2 linked regions of the Drosophila melanogaster genome follow. The protein of the gene in region 2 interacts with the protein of the main gene of each other region in a pairwise test. Each region holds a gene or a part of one and is shown on either strand. Other genes may lie near its edges. The genes, in order: CG15109 and Vps16B.

What was found.
Region 1: the proteins of Vps16B (region 2) and CG15109 interact in a two-hybrid assay, tested with the Drosophila melanogaster proteins (one large-scale study listed by BioGRID).

Annotation. Positions count from the first base shown.
Region 1 is NT_033778.4:19,055,314-19,063,143, reverse strand, and holds CG15109 (uncharacterized protein), read right to left. Parts: upstream 3,724-7,830; 5' UTR 3,658-3,723; intron 3,549-3,657; 5' UTR 3,526-3,548; coding exon 3,501-3,525; exon of another isoform or gene 3,410-3,500; coding exon 2,265-3,409; 3' UTR 2,079-2,264; downstream 1-2,078. Other genes in the region: Gpxl (glutathione peroxidase-like), read left to right, coding at 7,231-7,442, 7,496-7,830.
Region 2 is NT_033777.3:29,812,161-29,820,062, forward strand, and holds Vps16B (vacuolar protein sorting 16B), read right to left. Parts: upstream 4,292-7,902; 5' UTR 4,247-4,291; coding exon 2,903-4,246; 3' UTR 2,761-2,902; downstream 1-2,760. Other genes in the region: ca (claret), read left to right, coding at 1-28, 96-329, 386-838, 901-2,271; CG7829 (uncharacterized protein), read right to left, coding at 4,756-5,130, 5,182-5,568.

The sequences.
Region 1 (7,830 bases), on a different chromosome or scaffold from region 2:
AACAATCTGTACACCAATTTAACATACTTAATTTCAATAAAAACAATTTTAAATGTATTTCACTTGCATTCAAATTTAAGTATTACCAAACTGATTTTACCTAACAGCAATTGCTGTATTTATTAGCATACAAATTATGGTTATCGAATTACCATTAAACCACTTTAAAAACGCCAAACCAGTTAAGTAAAACACTTTTCGTTTAAAATTGATAATGCCAGAGTGAGCTTAAAAGCAGCAAAACTGATTTTGCAATTTATATTCAGCAATTTATTTGCTGGTTATTTGCGAAAAGTTTTCCCTTAGTTGTCCAAAAAATGTTTATATATATTACTGAGCAGATTCCTGATACTTGGGCCATGACTTTAACGGCATTTTAAAGGCACCATTGCCATTCATTTGATATTTGCTGACTCAACAGTTCAATTGAATTTTATGTTGTTGCCTGTCGCCTTTTGACTATGAAATCTAGATTACAACTTTTGGCAACAACTTGTGGCTAACGTAATTACAAGCTTCCAAATGACAACCATAACATTAACAACAAAGGCACCGAAAGACCGACAGCCAGACAGAGCGAGTGACTGACAGAAGAGTCCTGGCAATGTCCTGGCAACGCTCGTCTTTGTCATCCTCATAATGAAGCCATAAATTTCAAAAGCAAAGAGATTAGCGAAAGTGGTCGCCGCCTGCCTTTCTCGAAATTTATATTTATATTTATATTTATATTTGTATTGTACGCAACTTAAAGCTATTTACGCAGATGTCAACTTAAAGCGAAAATGGCATTGGTGACGAAAGTGTGGCAAAAGTTAATGCACTTGCAGTGCTGACAGGACCTTGGAGTTGAGTGGAATGCGGAATGGCTGATGCAAGCATTTATTATTTACACTTGTAAATAAATATATATGTGTGCGAGGGTCTATGTTGGAGGGGGCCTGGTCACTTAGCAGCGGGAATTGCACATACATTCGCATTTACACTCCAGTTAACACCCCAGGGACATTGGCAGTGCCACCACAGAGAGAGAAATAATGTTTGCCTTACTTTTATATCTATAACAAATATAAGATATTTTTTGAGTGTACTAGAAATTATTATATAAATGTTAAATTCCTAGAAATAAGCAAGTACGTCCTTTAATTATTATATTTTTATGTCTGTTAACGTATGAAACACTATAAATATTTAATTAAATAATTAAATCTTTATACCACTCTCCAAATATAATTATTGTGCAATCTTATTCCATTCTTTCTATTTTTCCAAATGTATCTTGAAGTCGAAGGAGCTACGCAATTTTACGAATGCTGCGTTGCACTTTTCCGCTTGGCACATGTAGATGTACTGCTGGCATCTAGTGCAGTTTATATAGATTATATACGTGGATTTGTGAAGCAAATTTGTATTTATGCTGATGGCCAGGCACCCATGACACTCGCTATTTCAATGGCTTGCCTTTCCCTGGTGTTCCCAGTCCTGAAGCCTGAATTCTGATTCTCGATTCCTGACTCCCGGCACATTATGTGCCCCATTTAATGTCTATGTATGTGCAGCCAGTACACTTGCACATACTATGGCACACACTTACACGCCCAGTGAACGTCAAGTGGCAATTTACATTAGTTTTATTGTATACGAAATTAGCAGCATTTAGCAGTGGCAGCCGGCAAAACTTTTGCCTTTCGGCTCCGTTCGCTATGTCCCACCCCTACACCCATACACACACACACATGTATTGCTATAAATGGAGGATATATTCTCATCCGCAGTCAAGGGTTTGTATGTTAGATTTGTTTGCTCGTTTGGCTGCACTGTCGCACTCGGCATATCAATTTTCCCGCTCATCCACCTCTCCCCTCAGGACATTTCAAGGTAGGAAATCGATTTTGTTAATGAAAACGAAGGAGAACTTCAAGGAGAAGGCCACCCAGGGGATCGGGTGTCGATTGGAGCGTAAGTTTGATATTTGTTACGGGCGGAACAATGGCCATTCTGCTCGATGATGGCATTCCCGAAGGATTATATTGCAACTTTCGAGCTTGATTTTTTATATTCTTCCGCTGAACATAGTTATTATGATGTGTATTTAGTTTTTATTGTCTGTTTTTTGTATACAAAGTAAAAATGGTCTCGCCACTCCTTACATATGCAAGAAATATAAACATCTTCCAGTTGAAGCAACAAAAAATAAAAAAAAGAATGCGGAAAAACAAGTAACCTAAAATTTTTAAGAAACATTGTGACAGCTGCCCGTTTCAGGTTCACACTAGATGGCACTCGTTCACCAAAACGACATCATCTTCGACCACGTCGCCATTACGATTGGCATGGTGCTCATGGTGAATGGGACAGCTGACGATGAGCTCCTCCTTGGGTTCCATCTTCTGTGCCTCCTTCTTGGCCTTCTTCGTTAGTGCCTTATCCTTGATGCCCTTCTTTTTTTCCATCTCCAGCTCCAATTCTAGGTGATCGCCCAGCAGGTGATCGATGACATCGGGATTGTTGCGCAAAGCCAGATCCATGGCGCCATCAAGGAATTGATAGAGGGGTGAACTAACGTGACGCTGTGGCTCCTTTGGTGGTTCCAGCAAGAGATTTCCCTCGAAATTGGGCTGCAACAGCTGTTGCAGCATGTAGAGCATCGGTGGCACAGCCGGCGAGGATTTATGCTTGCGATGGTGCTTCAGTGGTGCTGCATTATGAAGTCCGCGTGGAGTGTTCTCGGCTGCATTCAGCAGTAGCACTCCGGCCAATTCCGGTGGCAGAACTTCCGGACCGTAGTTCAGCTCCTGCTGCACACTCTCAATCATCATGTTGGGCGCCAGCAGCTCGAACTCCTTTATCTCGTGCTTGCCATCTGGCGAAACCAGCTTGTTGTAGTACACGTAGGGATTGGAATTGGGATTGGGATTGGGATTAAGATTGGGATTAGGGTTGGGTGGCAATGAGGTGGCCATAGCAGCAGCTTCCACCGCTGGGCGACGCTTGTGGTGCAATTGTCGTGGCTGCAGACTGTCGTCCATCAGGCTACCCAAACGCCTCTTGGGACGGCGCAGTCCCAGCAGATCCTCCACTAGCTGAAATTTTCCGGCATCCGGAGGCGAGGATGTGGATGCCACAGCAGCAAGTGATGATGATAATGCGGTGGTGGTTGTGGAGCTAGTGGTTTTTCCACGAACTCCCATACTGCGCACCGGTCCAGCAGTAATCTTCTGCTCCGGAGATGTGGCGGCTTCAGTCATGTTAGCGGTGGTAATGGTACTATTGGCCAACACGGTGGCTTTTCCGCTCAGTGAAGCAGTATTGTCCATTGTAGTGGTTTCATTATAATCACTTGCAGTATCGCCTTGAGAACGCTTCATGCGCAGACAATCGCCGTACATCGGCCGCATCAACATGAGGACACCTTAAGCAAAACAATGGATGCGTTTGAAATACACGCAATTAATTATAAATAATTGCATGCTAGATGGTACTGAAAACTAACGTATACTTACACCCAAGGATCAGCAAGTAGTTCATCTTGTATTGCATGATAGGCAGCGCTGTGGAAGACAGTTGAGTTGAAAAAGTGAAAAGTGACCACAAATATTCTCAGAGTTGAATATTTATTGTAGATTTTTTTCCACCAGAATAGTTACAATTTGAACTTACTTTATTTGATTGGAGTGGGTTCTAGGTGTGCTCGGCACAAAGTTTGTACTGAAAATAATTCGAAATGCTTCCTGCCTCATGGCGAGGCTTTGACAGACAGCTGGGGACCTGGTAAAAGGTTACTGAGAGTACGAAAAAAAAAATCGAATTTCAATATTTTTCTGATGGGGATTTTCCACACACACTCACTTCCATTTGTGGCGACCTTTTCAAGTGCTGCAAATGGCAGCAATGGTACAAAAACAAAAAAAAAAGTAACAAAACACAACCGCGCACACCAAAAAAGTTTGTTTCGTGGGCCGCAAACAAAAGCAAACAGTGGAAAAAGTTTAGCTTATAAATTTCCAATCAATTTTTCGTGCAAAAATCAAGCGACCTCACACTCACACACAGGCACAAGCTCAAGTGTTCATACACGTAGTGTGTGCCTGCGTGTGAGTAGCTATTACTTGATTAATAAATATTAGCAGCAAAAATTGGAAAATTCTCAGCGAAGCGTAAAAGTGCAAACACCCAAACGGAAATGCGATACATTTGCGAAATGGCAGGAGCATTTTCCAAAACATCGATGCTTCTCTACGCACACAAGCACGCACACAGCACTACTCACCTACTCCATGTAACTTTTGATATAAAAGGTATATAAGAATTATCGAAGATATGAAATATAGGTTATGAATCTGCATGGATTGACTTATTGACTTAAACTATAATTTCCCATTTGTTCAAAATGTAACAACTATATCTTCTTTTGTGTTATATATCAAATGAATTTTGGTTACTTTCAAAAGGGTATTTCTTTCTCGATTCCCGTTTTTTTAGCCTAAAACTTGAACTTGTTTCTGCCGCCTTCGTCTTTAGGCATTAATAATGTAAAGTGCGTGCGTCAAATGTGAATTCCTTGCTGCCAACGCACGCGATTTCATAAACTGGCGACATTTTCAACAAACAATTCTCATCGCCGTCTTCGATGTGCTTGTGTGTGTGTGTGTGTGTGCGCCCTTCGAGGCGACTTGGCGCTCAGGTGGATTTTGGGGTGCAGGAGGCGGTAAACCAAGGGACCCCGAGGAGCAGGCACTTTTCCTTATCAGCTTAAATGTAAATGCCAAACGAGTGCACTGAAGGCGGGGAGGGGGGTCGAAAGGGGGCGTGGCTGAGCAGCAGCTGTTGCTGCATTGGGGATTTGCACATTTATACTCGCATATTGTAGCCCCACTCCTCGAAAACCCCGTTTTTCCGGTCCATCCTGCTGTCTCGTTTTCATCTTCTCGTTTTTTATCTGCCAAAGTTGATTTTTCGAGTGTATTGAATAAAAGTCGATTTTCCCCTTCTGGATTTGTGCGCGTTCGACAAGCGGCTTAAATGCGTACAGTTAATACATATCCTTTTTGCATATGTCTGCGTGTCTGGGGCTTATAAGCCAGTGTGTAAGTGGGTGTGCGTGCTCTTGCTTTGATGTGTGAGTCCGTTAAGGTCGTGGCTTATTAGGGGTCCGAAACCTTTGCCGCAGTGCATCAACGCGGCGGGATTTGCACGCAGACACTGCAAAAAGGCTCCCAAGACGATCCACTATAATTGGTAGCGAAAATCACGCATCCGCCGTGTGGGTCAAGTGGTGCTAGGGGAACTGGTCTAGCAATTGCTTTGATCTCGGGCGGAAAATCGGTGAGTGCGACTTTTATTAAATGTTTCCCTTTCGATTTGTTTCGGCGGAAAAGACTCCGGCTTTGTAAACTTTCATTAGTTGCCTCGTTAATATTCCAATTGTTGACACACAAAGGCGAAAGGTGGTGGAGGGGATGGCTGGCTTAACCTGTGTATAAAGGAATTTAATTAATAACGTCCTTCGTCCTTTTGCGTGTGCAGCGCGGCGTAAACTTAATTAAATGCGCAAGTGGCAAGTAGCAAGTAGCTGGGGCCACAGTGGCAAATGACAAGTGGAGATGCAGGACCAGCAGACGCAACTGGAGAAGCTCAGGTGCAAAGGTTGAAGGTAACACCTGGCCCGGCTAGAAGTAAGAAAAAAAAACGTTAAGGAAACCCTCCTGCCCCACATGTCAAAAGTTTTATTGGCGCAAACGCTACTTTTATGGCTACTGTTAATAGTGAAAAATGGTGCAACAAAAGCCAGAATGATGGCAGATGCTTAGACAAAACCAGATGGAAATGGCAAACGGGGGGAGCGGCAAGTTCATCGAGTTGGTCATAAAACAACGAGTTGTGGCTCAGTGACTTTAACGCGCTTCCATCTTTACGAGTTTGGTGCGCCGGGTTTATAACCTGTAACTGGGGGCAAAGTTTATTAAGTTTATGCCAAGTGCATCAAATATGCAAAACCGCTATAGTTGATCATCTTGGATGCTCGATGGATTTGACTTCGAGTCTGACGGAGATGTCTTTTAGCATAATCGCTGGTTATTGCTATAAAACCGGTTGGCAATCATTCTATGCTGATTTTATGATAATCACAATTTCAGCTGTGATCTATTAAAGGTGCTTTCTTCTGTGAGTTAAGTTGGATATATTTTTCTAATGGGAAAAAATCGTTAAAGTAAATAGTCTTCTTGTTTTTGCATTTAATAATGCCATATAATTCTGTTTACATAGGTTTTAAAATATATCATGCCTTTTCCTTCTTAGCTTTATGAAAGTGTGACATATTTTTCTGCGTGTCAAAGAGTTTGAAAAGTGATTTGCAGCCAAACTATAAAATGCACTGGCATTTCGGACTGTTTTTAGTGCAGAAGCTTGACTGACGACCGTAAGAAGTTACGCCCATTCCACGCATTCTAAATCAATTTCAGTCGAACGCCTTTCGCCTGGCATTGATTTATGGCCCAAATCCAAACGTCGTCTAAGTGGAAAAGCCGAACCGAAAAGAGGCGCAACTTTACCGAATTATATTTCAATTTTGGCAGCGAAAATGAAACAGAAACAGAGCCATACCGAGTCCACAAAAGTGGGGCGTGGCTGGGGAAAAGATGTTAAGAACTTTTTGACAATTGACTTAAAAAGTTTCCTCAAGCTGGCAGAAATTGACTGCCTTTTGTATACAAATAGGCCGAAATCACCAAGCCCACACACACACACACACACACACATATGGACAGGGCAAACGGAAAAGCTGGAGAAAATGGTGCCGCGTCCATGAAGCGGAAGTAAACACATAAAACGGAAATGAAAATTCAATTATTTCGTTACGATTGTTCAACTTTTTGTTGTTGTTGTTTTCAGTGTGCATCTGTGTGTGTGTGTGTGTATGTGTGTTTTGTGCTCTCATTTCGTGTGGCAGGCAGAGGCCAAAAAAAGTTTAACATTAAGTTAACGTGCAACTCGCTTCGTGGGTCAGCATATGCAACTTTAGCTCTTTTTGGGCAAATTCAATTTTAGCTGCCACTTTTTTGGGGCATGTGTATGTGTGTGTGTGTGTCTGCACCGAAACGAAAGGGCCGCACATTTAAATGCGATTTTTAACAGTCGCTTCACGCACAATTAGCCTCTCGAATCGATTTTCACTTAAAGCGTTTTCCCAGCTTCACTTAGCGATCCCAAATGCAGTTAGCACGCTAGACGATGTTCGATAAAGAATTTCTTTTCCCAGGCCTTTTGGTTGCAGTGGCCTTGGTGGTAGTATTACAAACACGCAGCAGATTGCAACAGGATTTGCAGGATATGCGATGGCGTCTGACGATACACGCTCTCACCGTTCGAGATACGTTTGGGAATCCAGTGCAACTCGATACATTCGCCGGCCATGTGTTGCTTATCGTCAACATTGCCTCCAAGTAAGAATGATCCACAGAAAGTTCTTAATAACTTGGCCCACCCTTTACTTCAGATGCGGACTTACTTTATCTCAGTACAACGGTTTGCGCTATTTACTCGAGGAATATGAAGACCAGGGCTTGAGAATTTTAAACTTTCCCTGTAACCAGTTTGGGGGTCAAATGCCCGAGTCCGATGGCCAGGAAATGTTGGATCACCTGCGCAGGGAGGGAGCCAACATAGGACACCTCTTTGCCAAGATAGATGTAAAGGGAGCTCAGGCAGATCCGCTGTACAAGCTCCTAACGCGCCACCAGCATGATATCGAATGGAATTTTGTCAAGTTTCTGGTGGATCGAAAGGGAAACATCCACAAGAGATATGGCGCCGAACTGGAACCAGTTGCCC
Region 2 (7,902 bases):
ACAACTAGTCAGTTTTTTCAAATTTAAGGTGCGTCATTTAATCCATATGCACTTTATAGTCTTGCTACATTGACACATGCCTCTCAATGTTGCAGAAAATTTTACAAATATCGCTAGGGCATGCGCACACCTTGGTGCTGTGTGGAGCACCCAACAGCCACATGGAGGCTAACCACTGCGGCAACGAGCTCTTCGTGTTCGGCTCCAATCACTTTGGCCAGCTGGGCACCGGCAATAGTGACCATGGCGACACCAAGACGAACCTGCCTGTGCGCCTGGAAGTGGGCGACTGCAGCCTAAGACTGATACACACCAAATTTTTTACCAATGTAAGTGTTCAGCAATTACAGATGGGATCCAAGCTACATTCTAAAATCCCCCACAGTTAGCTGTAGACGAACAGGATCGTCTGTTCACTTGGGGAAGCTCGCCGCAGGCCTTGCGTCTGGCCAATCAGATCAAGCGGCGTGCCAATGCCAAGCAGAAGATGGAGGAGAATCAGCAGCGGGAGCTGTTGAGCAAGCAACTGGAGGCTACCCTGCTGCCGGCACCCATCCCGAGTACCAGCACTCTGGTGGAGCCCACCACATCATATGCGGCGGTGGTGGCCGGCTCCACTCCGAAGTCCAGCGTCAGCGACACCAAAGATTGCCAGGACGTGCAGAACGAGGCTGCGCCATCAGACGCTACGGAAACAATTGCACCGGCGTCTGCAAAAGCGGCGCCACCGCCAGTGCCCGTGGCTTCTCCGCCAGTTCTTGTCCCAGAACCGGATCCCACGGAGCACCTGACGCCCCATCTAGTGGACACCAGCGAGGTGGCAGGACGAATCCTGCAGGTAATTTATGACAGAGTGCAGCCATGGCTTGCTTTTTTAATTTGAAATCTCCTTTTTTATAGATCTCCAGTGGCTTGTTCCACTTCTGCCTGATCTCGTCCAGCTGCACACTCTATACGTGGGGCAAGAACCTGGAACACCAACTCGGCACCGAGGACAAAGATCGAAGGGCGGTGCTTAAGCCCTCGCCCATCGACAGCATCGAGCGTCCGATGTACGTAGACTGTGGTTCGGATTTCACGCTGGTCATGACCACCGATCACGTTGTGCGTGCCTTCGGCGGCAACTCGAACGGTCAGTGCGGTCGGGACTTGGGGCCCAGTGTGGAGAGGATGCGTCAGAGGGTGGTGTGCCTTCCAGCGACCAAGCGTCTGGTGCGATTCGAGAGCCAGTGCGTGGAAGTACCGGTGGAGATCAATCTGCCGAGACCGCGCATTCGACTAGACCAGGATCCGGTCAGATACCTTAAGGTTATGCCACCATATCAGCCGCATTTCTTGCAGCCGGCAAACATAAGCTTCGATCAGCACTGCTCGGTGGGCACTCCGAACTACAAAAGCAGCACGGAGCACGCGGCCACCGGTCAGGACTCGGACGACATGCTGAGTAGCCTCGAAAACCTGAGTCAGAACGATGCCAGCTTCTCTTACAATGCTCCTGTGCTGGGCGACGCCCACAGTTCGCTGGACATGGACTACACACCCGAGGAGCAGAGCTACGTGCCGCTGCCAGAACAGGCAGTTGGATCTGGTATGCCCGCGAATGCAGAGCAGTTGCTGGGCCGCGACGATGACGATGGCAGCACCTACACTCAGAGCACCGAGGGAATGGGAGAGTCGTCGCTGCAGCATCTGCGCCACTACATCCATTACTGTCTGTACGCCTTTCACGGGTTGTATAATCCCGACAAGATTGGCGAGTGCGCCCGTCCACATCGCAACGAGTACCGCATACGTATCTGCATGCTCAACTTTCGCTTCGTAGAGGCCTTCCGGCTGTGCCTGCAAAGCTGCGGTTCCGCCCAGCGCACCCTCAAGTTGTTTGAGTACTTCAGCAAGGACACGGGCTATGTGCCGCTGAGGAGAACCGACCTAAAGCACCTCATCTACCACCTGTGTCTGCACTTCCTGGAACGCAAGTTCGATATGCTGGAGTGCGAGCGGTTCTTCATGGGCGACCTGGACTACTATCTGCTGGAGCTGGCCTACGTGTTCTACTTCAACAACAACAACTCGACGCTGGAGCAGAATCTCAACCAGAAGTTCAAGCAGCTCATCGCGGCTGCGGACAGCAATCAAGCGGCCACGTCCGCCGGCCAGGAGCTCGAGCAGCTGCAGGACACCGATGTCATATTCGATAGCTTTACGGTCAAGTTCAAGACGATCCTGTGCCAGCGCCTGCTCAGCTACTCGGACTGCGATGCTGCCAATTAGCAGTGGCTGGGCCCTGGAGCTTCGTTTCCGGTTCAGATCCTGGATCCTCTGAAATTTCGTTCAACACGCATCAGTTGAGGGCCCGTCTGTCTTGTTTAATATGTTTCGTTATGAGTTCTGACCTAGAACCGAGGACTGCCCCCAGCACACACAACCCCAGACTCACAGACTCCCGGACTCCCAACTCCTAGAACCCATCTTCCCTTACATTTTTACGCGTAACTATATATATATACCATAATTGTTGTTTGCGGTTATTTATACATCAAATGCTTTTTACAGCGCTGTTATTTAAACGAAATATTTAAGACAAACAAATTGTTTAAAGAATCCAATTTTTGTAACGCTTTGTTTGCCATTGGCCACGCCTGCTTTTATTTGTTTACTCAATAAACTACACAAAAATCTGAGACCGAAGGAAAGTAATCCAAAACTGCTCATCGAACAGATCAACGGAGGCTGCAGGATATACACATGAAACATACAAATGATACAAATTTTTGTTTTTTATTCGATATTCAGCTTGTGATTTGCAATTATTTAATAAAACCAGAGTAGTAGTAATATAATTATATACACATATAAATGATTAACAATAAAATACGTTTATACAAGTAAAAGAAAGTCAATTTTACAACTTGAGCTTGATGTTGTCCGTAGTCCATCGCTTGCTCTGGAGGCTTTTCAGCGCATTCTCGCAGTAGAACTGCTCCTCGGATCGCTCGGGCAGGGTGTCCTTGAGCTGCTGTAGCTCCTGCTGCTGCTTCAACCCGGCCATGGCATCTATGACCGCCTTGATGCACTTCACCCGCTGGGCTAGCGCCAGTTTCTCAACGCTGTTGCCCATCTTGGAGAGGAATAGCTGAAGGACGGTCGAGGGAGCCTGCAGCTCGTACAGCCGGAGCACGGCCAGCGTCAGATCGAAGCTGATGTGAAACTGTTTGGTCTTCAGCGGATGCCAACTGGGCACCCGCTCAAATATGCACTCCAGATCCGCATAAGCCTGTGCCTGCGCCCTTTCATTGAGCGCCGTCCACTCGTACTGGGCCGGCGATATTTGCTGGTCGGCGGCAAAACGCTGAGGTGACACTGGTTTGAGCATATCCTGCTCTTTCCAATTGCTGTTCACCTGGCAGCAAGCATAGAGCACTTCCACTGGAGTGGGTTGATCCCGAAGCAGCTTGCCGAGCGCGCTATCCTTCTCCATTAGCTGCTGCATCTTGAGGGCAGCGTGAAAAACCTGCTCGTAGAGAGGTATTACACCCACTCCCGCTGTGGCATAGGCATCCACCAAAAGCTGGAGGTGTTTCTTCCTGGTGCTCGTATCTCCGGAAGCGAGCGCTGCCTGAAACTGCTTAAGAGCCGCCTCCTGGTGGCGTCCAAATAGCTGCAGTAGCTCAATATGGCCCGCCAGGTCGCCACTTTCCTTCAGGTAACTCAGATACTGCTCCAAGGCCTTGGGTCTCTCCCTCAGAATGCCATGAAACTGCGTGGTATTCAGAGTTCTCTTGAGGAAGAGCAACACTGTAATGACGGCATGCCCACCACCTTGTGCCATCAGGGTGTCCAGCAGCTGCTGCTTCTCATGCAGCGACTTGAACATCTCCAAGGGCGCAGTCTTTCCTTGCAGCAGCTTCTGTGCAGTGGCTTCTAGATTGGGGCTGTACAGGGTGCTCTGAAGCTGTCGGCGCAGCAGCTTCAGCTCCTCCTCCGGCGAGACACCCTTGGGCAGGACCCTGTCGTCCAGCGCCTGTTCCTGCAGCACCAGTTTCAATGCCTCCTCGCTCAGAATGGATTTGATCGAGAGATTCAGGGCGACACTGTTATTGAAGCTGGCCTCCGAAATGGTGTCGTCGGCGAGGATGCCATTGCTGACCAGATCCGGGGCGAGGTCCACCTCGTCTTCGTCGTCGAAGCTGAACGCTGCGCGAGAGGATCGGTTCCAATAGCTTTCGCTGTCCAATTGCAGGTCCATTGTTATTATTCGTTATTAAATGTAAGGTTCTATTTTGTGACGACCAGTGTGGCTGCGCTAATGAATTTACCGTTTAATGCACAGACATGGTCGCACTATTTTCGGCTATTCAAATATTTAAAAATAGTTTCAGTGAAATCCGTTATGAAAAAGCTGTTAATTGTTTATAATCTTCGTTGAATCAAACGATTGACACAGAAAATTAAGCAATTTAGAATTTAGAACTTCTTTCCAAATTGGCTAGAAACGGGAACGCATTTGATTTGTGCAATAAACTAGCAACGGCTAATTCAGCAGAACATCAAGTTTCATCATAAACTCTTTTCGCTTTCTTTTATTCACAAATAGTTGGCTTTTAATGAACCTTAAAGTTTTTATTATTTTGTACGATTAAATCCGCGTAGATTTTTTCACTTTAAGCGAGAAAGCATTTACGTGCACGTTTTTATGCGTCTTTCATGGGTGCCAACTGCTAAAATAGTGAAACTGCCCGAATCAAGTATGTTGCATTACTTTGACTTATTCAAGACCTGGTCTAGCCAGGGATGCAGTGCATCGAGGCGGGAGTAGACTCCCGGCTTGTCCGCCAGGGCGCACCCCACTCCCCACGACACGATGCCCACCAGCTGCTCCCTCACCGACAAGGGTCCACCGGAGTCCATCTGGCAGGCATCCGTGCCGCCCTTGAGGTAGCCTGCACAGAGCATCCGATCCGTCACAGTTTTGCCCAGTAGGTTCCTGCAGGCGGTCTGATTCACGATCGGCACTCGGGCATATCTCAGACTGTCCGAGGGAGGACCATTCATGGACTTAAATCCCCAGCCGGCAATGGTGGCATAGGTGCCTTCGGCTACTCTCTCTGGGTTTATGGGAATGGCCTTTACCTACAGAGCAAATTGCTGAACTAACTCATTTTAGCTGAGAGTATTTCAAACCTTTCTAGATAGTGTTAGGTTTTTGGTCAACCTGATGATACCGATGTCATAGTCCATGGTCTTGGGATTGAAATTCTCGTGGACTTGCAGGTCAGCGACCGAGAACAGTTCCCCATCTTTTCGGTAGCGCGACGTTCCGCCGACCTTAACTTTCAGCAGGCGATGTGGCACTCCGTTCAGACAATGGCCAGCCGTTAGGATGGTGTGGTTATTTATTATGGAGCCGCCACAATGGTGGATGCCGTACAGTTGGATGGACACTATGTACGGAATGTTGGCGATATCGGCTGGGAAGCCACCGACTATGCGTGGATCTGGGCGACTCTCCAGAGATAGACACCCAGAAGCCTGGAGGAGAAGCAATTTCCACCATAACTTGTACATCATTCGCAGTTAAACGGAGAAAGAATCGCTTTAAAGTAGGAATGTGCGGTCTTTGGATCGCACCTTAAGTACGGAAGAACGTGAAAAATAATGAGAAAAAGCATTTCAATAAGTGCCCATTACTTTGTAATTAGGAAGAGGTTTCGTTTATCTCGCAACTGTTTCAGCTTCGCCGACAGACAGAATATACAATATATGTAACTAAGCTCCGTTCGTGCCGTCAGTTATTAAGAGCCGGACTAATTAAAGTTCAAAATAGTTGAAATGCGAGGAAAGAATGGACCAAATGGATTAAATTAGGGAATACTTAACTACCAAGTAGGTGCTCCAAGGGGCCACTTACCTAGCAATCTGCCATGAATCATCTTTCAATAACTAGGGCTTTCTTCGGTCCGATTCTCCTCGCTTTTCACAAATGTATATCATTTGAATAGCATTAATGGCCAAATCTGGCCTCCACTCATCTATTGTTTGCCCAATTTGTTATCAAAGCACGACCCGTTTTCTCGGCGAACGGACTCGGCCAACTGATTTGCATTGGCTTGACCCATAAATTTGGAAATCAAACACCGTTTGATGGGCCATTCTGGCTCTGGTCTGGCATACTGGCATATCCACGTCGAAAGCGCTGTCCCCGCCAATAAAGTGGGCTATTCGAGATCGGCAGATATCACTGATCTCCAGCCAGTGCGAATGGGGGATGGGGATGGGGGCTAGTCGAAATGGAGTAAAAGTAAACACCGAACATAAGCCCACACAAATCGTTATGGTGGATTTGGCCTAAGCCGATTAGGCTAGAATGGGAGAAAATGGGTGACGAGCGATTTCACGCGACACCTGCGTACGTACCTTTCTCACTCCCAACTCCCAACTCCACACTCCTCATTTCTCATTAGTGAAAGTGAAAAATAGTAAAAACGCAAGCGACAGTTATAAGCCAAAACCCATTGTTACGCGTCGCTTTTCTGGCAGCCCTTGGGCGCTAACAGGCCCATAAGAAAATTATTCGAGGAGCCATAATGCCAACTTTATATGTTACCTATGTTAGGCCCAAAGAGAGCCAAAGAGCGCAGACAGGTGCACATTGTTCTCGATCGTTGACCGCAATCACCATGGTTGCATCTCCAACACGTTCGAGTTCGGAGTGTAGAGATCCAGCCACAGGTGATACCTCACCATTACCAAGCACGAGTGTGTTTACCATGCTAACAATTTCTTTCTGTTTGAGGTTCTTTCGTCTGCGAGCATCATCCACATCCATCGCCCCGAGACTTTCTTTTGCAAGAATTCCACTTCCACGACGAACTGCGTCCCGCTCTCTCGCGCCTTCTCTCTTCCTTCGCCAGCCGAGCTGCTCCCAGAACTTCTTTATCTAATTTTTATAACAAGTCACTCGGCGGCGTGGAAGACTTCAGTTCTGCGGCGACCATCGAATGGTCAAGTTCGGTGCTCCCTTGTTCCCATTGCGAAAGATCTTGGGCTGCGAAAGTGTTTTGTCTCAGTGTGACTAGGCTGAAATTCGGGAAAGACTCAGGCAACGAACTTGTTAATTAGGTAATTGTTTGACGATATGGATATGACTATGAATATGGATATGGATATTGAAACGAAGATGTTAGAATGCCTCACATCATGAGCACTGGTGTGGGAACAGAGCTATGCCTTTTCCACCTCCGATCGAACCGCTACTCAGCAGATGCTGCCCAGATGCACCGACTGAGGAATAACTAAGAAAAATCTGAACAAAAAACGTTAACCGGTTTACTTAAACGGCAGTGATCGGACTGACGGATGACTATGCCTATGCCAGCGTTGAAAAACGGAGACAATCATTCTGAAAAAGTGAACTGCAAAAACGCAGCAAACTGAGAAAAACTGTGCAGAATGCAAAAGACTCGAAAGACTCCAGCCCCAGTTACATATACGTTCTTCACGATTCTTCGCAATTCTTTACCATTCTTCAAGGTTCTGCAGCCAGTCTGCGGCTTCCGTCAAAACATTAGGACTTCCGTCCTGGAATGGGAGTTCCCCCCCCGACGGATGCCAACTGACTTGGTTCGGCTTTCTTGGCTAAATTCTGAGATACTCACGCATATTGGCAGAAATCTCAGAGTCAGTGAATCCTAAGAGCTGGAAATTAGCACAGTAGTTCGTTAGTGGTCCCGTGATTATCCCACGAATCCCAAATTGGCCACATTCGAAGTTTCGCCGAATGGGAAATTAATCTAACAGTGTGATACCTGCCGTTAAATTTTTGGCAGGCTTTAGTCACCGGAGAAATGAAGTCATTAACACATTCAGAATGGTGAAAGTTTTTTCCTATGGCGCGGTCCCTCT